2 linked regions of the Neurospora crassa OR74A genome follow. The protein of the gene in region 2 binds, or shares a complex with, the protein of the main gene of each other region. Links are inferred from orthologs where the notes say so. Each region holds a gene or a part of one and is shown on either strand. Other genes may lie near its edges. The genes, in order: NCU06091 and dot.

Region 1 (4,511 bases), on a different chromosome or scaffold from region 2:
CTGTATTATAGCTAGATGACAGCATGGATTTAAAGTCAGGGTACACATGTGGCTAAACGACTGAACAAAGCATATGCCTTTTTTTTCGTACCCATCACTGAAAATTTAGCTATTTTGGTTGCCATGGGGTTACCGCCACCGTCTTTCTCTAACCTAATCCTGTTCATATTCCATTACTTCCATGATAAAGTAAGAGGTGTAGTAGACGTACAGAAAACGTGCAGCATCAATCAATGTGTGAGACCACTACACTACGCTTTCGCCCCGGTCGACGCACTCATCCCTTCATTGTCATATTTTTCTTTTTTCCGTTCTTTTTTGATTTTCGCATCTTCGCTTCGCCTCATTGTCCATCGGTATCTGCCCACCTATCCACACCAATCCTCTCATATCCTCCAAGTAAAACCCAAGCCTCTTACCATCTCCAACCCGTCCTCCTCCTATTCGACCTCGAAGAGAGTAGTAAGTGGGAGACCAAAAGAGGGAAATTAAAAAAAATGTTCATCATCATACCTACCCTACCATACAAGGAGACGAGGTGAAGATATTAAGTAAAATAGTAGGCCCTTCTGCGCGGTTGCTTCGCTGGTGTGATAGAGTGAATCAGGTAAAATGCGCTGCGTCCTCCGTGTTGTTGGATCAGGAAGGCCGGCCTTGACTGACCCCTTGCCCGCTCGCTCGCTCGAAGACCCAGCGCCCACCCACCACCCCTTGTTCGTAGTGTAATCGTGAAAAGGCTTCCTTCCCCCGACTTTCACTCACTCAGCACAACACATCATCATCATTCTCGCTTTTCGGGGTGTCTCCCACGCTTGTCCTCAATGGCTGGGCTGTTTGCTTTCTCACAATTCCCGCCGTGCGCCATTTAGAGCAGGGAGTCAAGGCGAGTGAATACGCTCAAGCAAGCCGCCACGACTTCGAGCTGGAGTTCCTTGTCCTTTGCTTTGTTGACCTCCTGTTTGTTTGGTGAGCATATGTTAACTAAAATTCTCGCTTGAACAGTCCGCTCGGTTTTTTTTTTTGGAGGGGTTCTTTTTTCTCCCTCTTCCAACAGAACCTCTTGGATAAGAAATCATACAAACGTACCTCATTAATAACTTGCGGCAAGTTCGCCCCCACACCACCATTCCCACCAGGCAACGGCCTCGCCGCAAACGGCCACTGGCTGTACTGCAGCAACAGCTCGTCCGCCATGGAAAAGGCGTTTTCCCTCGCCTCGTGGCCGAGGGTACTCAGCGCGTTCTCGAGCACGTTGGCTGCGTGCGCCGCGCACACCATGGCGATTGTCCGCACGTACCGGAACTCGAGGTCCTCGGGCAGGTACTGGGTCGGGGTGAGCACGACGGTGCGCTGCGTCAGCACGTTGCGCACACGCCGTCGGATGTCCTCCTTGGCGGCGCCCTCGACGACGGGGTGTGTGGCCATGTCGAACAGTAGGAAATTGCGCTTTTCCGTGCGCAGGATGCCCTTGTCGACCAGACCCTTTGCGAGCCGCTCGCGGACTTGTTTCAGTTGGTAGCCGATTTTCATGAGGTTCCAGGTTTCGCCTGTGGTATTAACAGGTCATGTCAGCACGTTTGCTTCCGCTTGGGTGTGCACGATAGACATGGGGGGAATGGAGATGGGGCAGTGACGCAAACACGTACCGCTCATCAAGTCAATCCAGGAGCTGACGCTCATCTTCTCGCTCGTCTTCATCATCTTCAGGGCCTCGTCCAGCAACACCTCGCCCGTTAGAGTGTCGTCAATGACTTCGATGATTCGGTCCGCCAGGGGGAAGCGCCGCCGGGAAGAGTCTTTTTGCATACTGATGCGGCCGCGGAAGGCCAGCTCGAGAACAATGCATCCACGAAGAGCATAGGAGATGTTGTCGTTCCAGAACGAAAGGTAGCCCTGATGGGGGTTGTCTTGTTAGCCATGTCGTCTCTCGTCGTGCCCAGGTTCCGAATTCCGAATCATGAAAACAGTCCAAGGAGCAGCACGTGGCGAACGTCAATATCGAGTCCAGCCATAGTCAGAAGATAGCCCTTTGGTAGGCCCCTACAACATACAAAGGGATAGTGTAGCGAGCGAGACTGAGAGAAAGAGAGACGTGGAGACAAACCTCGCGATCCTTGATGCCAAGCAATAAGACCTCCTCCATCAGCGTTAGCTTGGGTTGCTTGCTCCTCTCTGCGCTCTCGCTCAGGTCGCGGGGATCGAAGGCAATCCTGTGTCCGTTCTCGCCCGTCTCGTAGCTCGTGTCGGGCCCAACGTCCCTCGTGTCGGAAGCGCCGCCGCCGCCGCCGCCGCCGCCGACGTCGCTGCTGCCTCCTCCCGCGCCCCTGCGCCGGGTCAAGCCTGATGTTGATGCCATCTTCTTCTTCTTCTTCGTTTTTTTTTTCTTTATCGGGGACTGTTTCTGATGTGATGATTGGGCGGCACGAAGCGAATGTGGTCGGCCGAGTTTGGGCGTATGTGCACTGGTATTATTTCCCCGTGTTTTCGCGGACAGGGGGAATTGAAATAATTTCGGTTTCGCGGTAACACGTGGGGATTAGGATTGCGGATTGGGGATTCGGTAGGCCTGGGTGTAGCCTGTGTTTCAGAGGAAAGGGTAAGGCCGACTAGTAGAGGTAGTAGCCTGGTCGATCAATTGTCCCGAACGTGGAGGTCCGTCCTTCGTTGTCGTCGTCGTCTGGGGGGTGGTGGGAAGCCGCTCTTCGGCGCGGCTCTTGATGATGCGAGTGTTTGTCGTTTCGCTAGTCTGTTGGTGTTCTCTTGGCTACCTCTAGCAGGACCGACGGGGGGGGGGATGGTTAGGTTTGGTTGAGGCTGAGTGGTGGACTCGGGTATGTAGAGGTACGTAGGTAACGGGTCGGTGCTCGACGGGTCCCTCTTTTGGTTGGCACAGGCAGCGCGCAGCAGTGCCGGACGCTGTTTTGTGCAGCGGTCAAAGAAAGAGAAAGTCCAGAGGTGGGATCCCGTCCTGGTCCGCGCGGCGGATGGAGTCTAATCGGGTCAAGAGCCAATCTCAGGGTCCAGTTCACCTGCGGCGCAAAGGGGTTCTAAGTATCAAACCTTAAACTTGGGTGCAGTTGGAGATGGCTAGGTTATGTGTTTCCTGTATATTCTGAATGGCCACGTTTTGAAACGGCTGTTTCTTTGTTCAATGCTACCGAGGGATGAAGTCATTAACCCCTTCCAAGCTTCCCTTGTGGAACGGAACACGGGTTGCTCCGATCATGATAAAATCGTGTAGCATCACCTAGAATTATGTCGGCTTCCAGGCGCCGTGTTAGTGCTTTGATTGCGAATAAAGTAGAGTCCGACCACCCAGCACTAACAGCACCTCATTTCACAGCTGGAATTTAACGCCTACACCGGAGAGCGCCTCGGTATCAGACAAGCAAGAAAGGGAAGCTATGCGTCTCACATCACCAATTCAAGTCACCGGACAAAAAAAGAGAAAAGACTCGGTGAGCTGATAATCACTTTTTAACTCCCTGAAGATGCTGCCTCGCTGAAGAAGAAGGGGGACCTCCAGCCCCTACCTCCTCCCTTCGCCACCACTACTAAAAGCTAGCTAAGTATAAAAGAACAAAAGACAAGGCTTGCCCAGCCTCGTACCATGTTAACCGCTTGTCGTGATCTGGTCCAGTTGTGATATGTACGTGTGATATAATCTCTTTTTCCATTCCGACCGTGCAAAGAAAAAAGAAACGAAAAACCATGAGGAAAAAAAACAAACGCCAAAAACACCACCTGTTACCCCCTTCCAGCAAGAAATATGTACGTAGCGACAAGGCAGAAGAATGGGAAAAGGATATGCCAGCCTCCCGAGCATCTGCCGCTATGCAGCAGCAGTGGTATCAACATCTCTCTCCAAAAAGACAAAACACCCCTTGCTGAACACCTTATCCGACGCTTATTTCTTCTTACCACCGAATCCGCCCTCGAATCCAGGCCTGCTCTTACCCTTGGAAGCACCTTTTCCTCCACCCTTACCGCCCTTGCCGCTCTTGACCTTGATGCCCATCTTGCGGGCCTTCTTCTCGTCCTGCTTCTTCTTGATGTTCTCCTCGCGCTTCTTTGACCTATCGTACTGGGCCTTGGCGACGCCCTCCTTGCGCTCTCTCCACTCATTGGCGCTCTTGCTCTTTGCCTTCTCCTTGCGCTTGACAGCCTTCTTGAGCAGGTGCTCGTCGTCGTGAACCTTCTCGCCCTCGGCACGCTTGCGAGCAGCGAGCCACGTCTCCTTCTCAAGGACTTCCTTGCGCTTATCTTCAGGCAAGGCCTCGAGGCGCTTCTTCTGCGCCTCAAGCTTGGCAAGCTTGGACTTGGCGTCCGTGGGGCCCTTCTTCTTGGTTCCGTCGGACTTGACAAAGGCGGCGTCACGAGAAAGCTGAACACCATCAGAGAAGGCGAGACGTCCGAAAGCAAAGTTGGTTTCAACATCGTCCTTGGGGCTGAGCATGCTTAGGGGAGAGTTGCGCGAGCTGGCAATAGCCTCTGACCGCTTCCGATCCTCC
Region 2 (4,562 bases):
ATGGTCTTCGTTCCCTACCGGTCGCCAGTCACCCTAAACCTGTAAAATATGTGTCTATTCTATATGCCAACATTGTGATCGTTCCGCCGAACCAGATTTTTCCACGCGTCAACAAGACTTTACTCAATCCTCTTCTTACCCTCCTCGGCGTTGATGTACCGCGCCGTGCTAAGGCCGCGCTCATGCTTAGCGACCAATGGCCCAAGGATCTTGTCCTTGCGCACAACCTTGGTGATGGTCTCGTGATAACCTTCCACGGCCCAGGGGCGAGGAACCAGCTTTGGCCAGTTAACCTGTTTTTGTTCATGTTAGTAAACCTCCTAAGAGAAAGGGGTAAAAAATTTAAATGAATTAAAGCAAGGAATGAACTCACATAGAGCATGCCGTTCGAAATGATAAATGTCAACGACCATGCCGCGACAGCCGTCCAGAAAATGATGAACAGCCTCATCGGCCACACGGCACTATCGGGTAGCCTGGGCGTCCACATGCCCACAAAGACAAAGAACAGACTAAAGGCGGCCAGGTAGGGGATCGCCTGGATCAACACCGGCCTGCGGTCGACAAAGACCAGCTGAGAACCAATGTTCGCTGCGCCGGGCTGGTAGACGCCCAGGAAGAGGTCAAAGGCGTCCTGCCTTGGACCGTCGAAGAAGTTGTTCTTGCAGTACCTCGTCACAGCAATGTTGGCGTCGGCGAGCGCGCCGGCCTTGGTACGCTTGCCCGTCCGGGTCAGGTCCGTCTTCATGGCGCCGGTGCCGGCGTAGCTGTTGGACACAATGTCGGCGTTATCGGCCCACATGTTGCGGAACATGAACTCGAAGGCCGGGTCCTCGTCCTTGAACTGGGAGCCGCGCGCCATGAGGCCAAGGTCGATGAACATCCTGTCAAGCGTCCAGCGCGCGAGCATGGACTGCACAACGTTGGTGCGATCAAGGCAGTCCATGCAGTTGGTGCGCACTACGCTCGTCTGGAGGTTGCGAACTTCAAGACGGCCACCGTTGACCTGGCTGGCGGGAGAGTCGACGGCGCGGAAGTATTGCTGGGCAATCAGGGCCTCGTGCATCCTGTCGATGAGGAGCTGGGCACGGTGCATCTGAAGTCCCTTGGTCTCGGCGTGGAAGTCGAAGTAGATGTAGTGAAGGCGGTCGAAGGAGGTCTGGGGCTTAGTGCTTGTTTCGATGGTGTGGAACTTTTCGTCGGTTAATGCGTCGGACTGGACACGTTCCTTGGGCGATGATACGAGGCGGTCGACCATCTGCTCGTAAGCTAGCTTGACGCGGGTCTCGCGGCCCTTCTGGTTGACCAGGTTCACCAGATAGTTGTCGCCATAGAGACGGATCTGCTCGTCGAAATGCGCCTTTGCTGCGGGGAAGGCGGCCTCAGTGCTCTTGAGCTGAATCGTAGGGGTATACTTGAGGTTGTTCACTTCGGCCCAGTAGACAGGGACACTTCCACGTGTTTGCACATAGGACAGGACCTGCATCTCCTTGCCGTCACTTCCACCAAGCTTCCCACTCTGCATGTCGCCGCTACCAGTGAAACCTCCCAAGCCGCTACCACGGTCGTTCAAGACCACGATCTGCTCCGTCTCATTGTAATTGGAGGCATGGCCCTCGGCATCGATGCCTCGAGAGAAGTAACGGGTACCAGCGCGGTGTCGTGATCGGCGGGTGATCAAGGCAATCGTTATGGGGGTACCCTTAAAGGTGGTCGGGTGGATCTCGAACATGCCGAAGATGACGGGAAGAATGTAGGGGTCGATGCCGGGCTGGGGAGCAGGAGAGCCCCTCCCGCCCTTGGTTCGGAAGTTGATGAGGTCGGACTGGAGGAATCGGTTCCAGAAAAAGCGGTCGTCGGCGCGCTGCCACAAAGGCGTGGAGAGGTCATGTTGGGCTTGTCTCTGGCTGGTGTTTGTGACGTCGAGCGAGTAGGAAAAGTACATGGGCCCGGACTTGATGAAGCCCTTGAGCAAGTTCAAGAACTTGTCCTCATCGTGGTCGTGAATCTGTCGTTCGCGGAGGGGGAGGAACTCGGTCGCGACAACCTTGTACACCATATGGCCCCTGAGGCGGCCGACTGGTTGCGCTTTGGTGATGACGATGATGTACTTATCTGCGAAACGTAGGTAAGTTTACGGAAAGGAGTTACATGACGATACAGGGGTTGATTGTTGTCCTCACTCACCTAGGCGCAACCTGACAACACCCAGGATACCGGCGATGCTGGATACGCGGGCAACGCGCTTGCCGGCGAGGAGGGAGGCATCGCTCAGACGGATATCGCCAGTGGGGCGGTCGATTGTCAAGGCCGGCGCATTGGGACTGGAGGGCGAGGTGAAGATGTAAGAGTCCGAGGCGGCCTGGACGTTGATGTCCCGGAAGGGGAGCGTCATGATGATGAGGCAATGTATGTTGTCTGCAGATATCGTAGAAGCTGACTCGACGGGAAGCACTTGGACGACGTTCTTGAGGGACGGATGAAAAGGGACAGCAACAGACTTGGGGATGGCCTCGTCATGAAATGGACCGAAATTATGTTGTTTCGATACAGTGTCCCGATCTGGACATGGACCTACAGGGCCCTGAACTCTGGAAGTTTTGCCTCCTGTTGCCGGTCCTTGTAGCGGGTCTGTTAGCGGGCGGTAATCTCACTGCGCCTTCCCCGGATGCGTTGACGTGTGGAATTTCCAGGACATCCAATGCGATGCAGTGGAACGAACACTTCCACTTTAAGTTGTTCAGTTGCCCGGAATCCCACCTCCCGTCACCGTCGAACATTGTGGCCACTGCCCGGGCACCTACCATAGAGGTAGAGGTAGAGGTAGGTACCGCACTACCTGTAGCATCCAGAGACCTGATCACCTCGATGAAACTCGAAGCCGCTGAAGGAAGTGCTTGCCCCCAAAACATCATCACCACACACACACATACACACAACCAGGAAATGCCCGCCTGCCCCTTTCAGTCAGCTCCGTCCCTGCCGGCCGTCATCATCAAAGCCACTGCTGGCGTGACGCAACCCTTCCTCTCCCGGCCCAATCACGTGTAAAGAAAGACCCGAGTGCACGTGCCATTTCTTGCACCGCCCTGCAGCACAACCTGCCCGGGGGCTCCTGCTGAGGGCTCCCGCCAGTGGATTGCTGCAGCGGTGGGCTGCCGTAGTCAGAGTGCTTCCAGCGACCTGACCTTCCCCGTCATCACCAGAATGACGGCCGCCCTGTCCATTAAACACCAAACACTGAAGCGAACCTAATCCGTCCACGGGGCCCCCAGTCATCCCGTCCACCACCACCACCAGGCACTCCCACACTGAACTGTTCCCTGGCCTTCCTTTCGGCGGCGTGCTGCTCCTCCCGCCCTCCGTCACCTTCAACAACAAACGTCTTGTCTTGAACTCAACAACAACTGTTTTCCTCGATTTTCTGCTTCAACGACTCCATACCCGATACCCAAACTTGCTGCTTCGCGCGTCACGTTCCCGTCCAGCCTTTGTAGTGGCGACCTGCAAACGACTAATCAAGCACCTGACACCTCTTTGCCCTTTTATCTCTTGGTTAATTAATCTGGCCACCCCCGGTAGCGCCGCAACCCGCTTCGCCAGCAACCCCGTCTAATCTCCCGACTACACATCAACGTCACCACACCACACCACATCATCTGTCCATAATGGCCACTCGTGGACCTCCCGGCGCGCGCCCCGGCATGGGAAACCGCTTTGCCCAGTTCAAGCTGGTATTGTTGGGTTCGTAACAATGATAATGGGCTCGTGGAGGGGGGCTTTGATGCTGACCTGCATGCAGGTGAATCGGCGGTTGGAAAGAGCTCGATAGTCTTGCGCTTCGTCAAGGTACGCCCAGCTCCTACTCGGCGCTTGATGGGATTGAAGCGGGCAACTGACCTCCATCCAGGACCAGTTTGACTCGTACAGAGAATCCACGATTGGCGCCGCTTTCCTAACACAGACCATTGCTCTCGACGAAAACACAACGGTCAAGTTCGAGATCTGGGATACCGCCGGCCAGGAGCGCTACAAGTCTCTAGCGCCCATGTACTACAGAAATGCCAACTGTGCAGTAGTCGTTTACGATATCACACAGGCGGTATGTGGCCTTTCTCGAGGTCCTTGTCTCTGCCCGCGCGACATGAGCTGACGTAACCCCCTTCTAGGCATCTCTGGACAAGGCCAAGTCGTGGGTCAAGGAACTTCAGCGCCAAGCAAACGAGAATATCATTATCGCTCTTGCCGGTAACAAGTTGGATCTCGTGCAGGAGCAACCCGATAAGCGTGCGATTCAGACGGCCGACGCCCAGGCATATGCAAAGGAGGCCGGCCTTCTCTTCTTCGAGACTTCTGCCAAGACTGCCGAGAACGTGCAAAACCTGTTCACCGAGATTGCGAAGAAGCTGCCCCTCGACCAAGTTGGACCGAGGCATGCTCGCCCGGGCCAACGACCGGGTGTCAGTCTAGCTCCCGAGGGGGCCAACACCCAGGTCGGAGGGCCTTGTGCTTGCTGAGCCTGTGACGGGGACTGTTTCGGAGTTTGGGAGCTACGTATGGAA

The links.
Region 1: the proteins of dot (region 2) and NCU06091 are in contact, whole or in part, in a crystal structure (PDB 4TU3), measured with the Saccharomyces cerevisiae proteins. The link is inferred for Neurospora crassa OR74A from reciprocal best matches to the Saccharomyces cerevisiae genes SAC1 and VPS74. Residues at the interface, in NP_012710.1 of Saccharomyces cerevisiae: Gln9, Tyr69, Ile95, Ser97, Thr98, Lys99, Phe100, Asn101, Ser102, Arg103, Ile104, Ile112, Glu116, Lys120; in NP_010660.1 of Saccharomyces cerevisiae: Ser164, Gly165, Glu166, Thr167, Trp168, Asn169, Leu170, Leu171, Lys172, Ile173, Gln176.

The regions. Positions count from the first base shown.
Region 1 is NC_026507.1:1,844,774-1,849,284, forward strand, and holds NCU06091 (vacuolar protein sorting-associated protein 74), read right to left. Parts: upstream 3,105-4,511; 5' UTR 2,357-3,104; coding exon 2,105-2,356; intron 1,894-2,104; coding exon 1,647-1,893; intron 1,548-1,646; coding exon 1,087-1,547; intron 956-1,086; coding exon 866-955; 3' UTR 58-865; downstream 1-57. Other genes in the region: NCU06090 (hypothetical protein), read right to left, coding at 3,908-4,511.
Region 2 is NC_026501.1:6,839,746-6,844,307, forward strand, and holds the start of dot (synaptojanin-1), read right to left. Parts: upstream 2,911-4,562; 5' UTR 2,396-2,910; coding exon 2,188-2,395; intron 2,116-2,187; coding exon 374-2,115; intron 294-373; coding exon 120-293; 3' UTR 1-119. Other genes in the region: NCU00895 (RAB GTPase Ypt5), read left to right, coding at 3,669-3,744, 3,803-3,849, 3,911-4,102, 4,170-4,517. UniProt on the Saccharomyces cerevisiae protein: Phosphoinositide phosphatase which catalyzes the hydrolysis of phosphatidylinositol 3-phosphate (PtdIns(3)P) and phosphatidylinositol 4-phosphate (PtdIns(4)P). Has low activity towards phosphatidylinositol-3,5-bisphosphate (PtdIns(3,5)P2).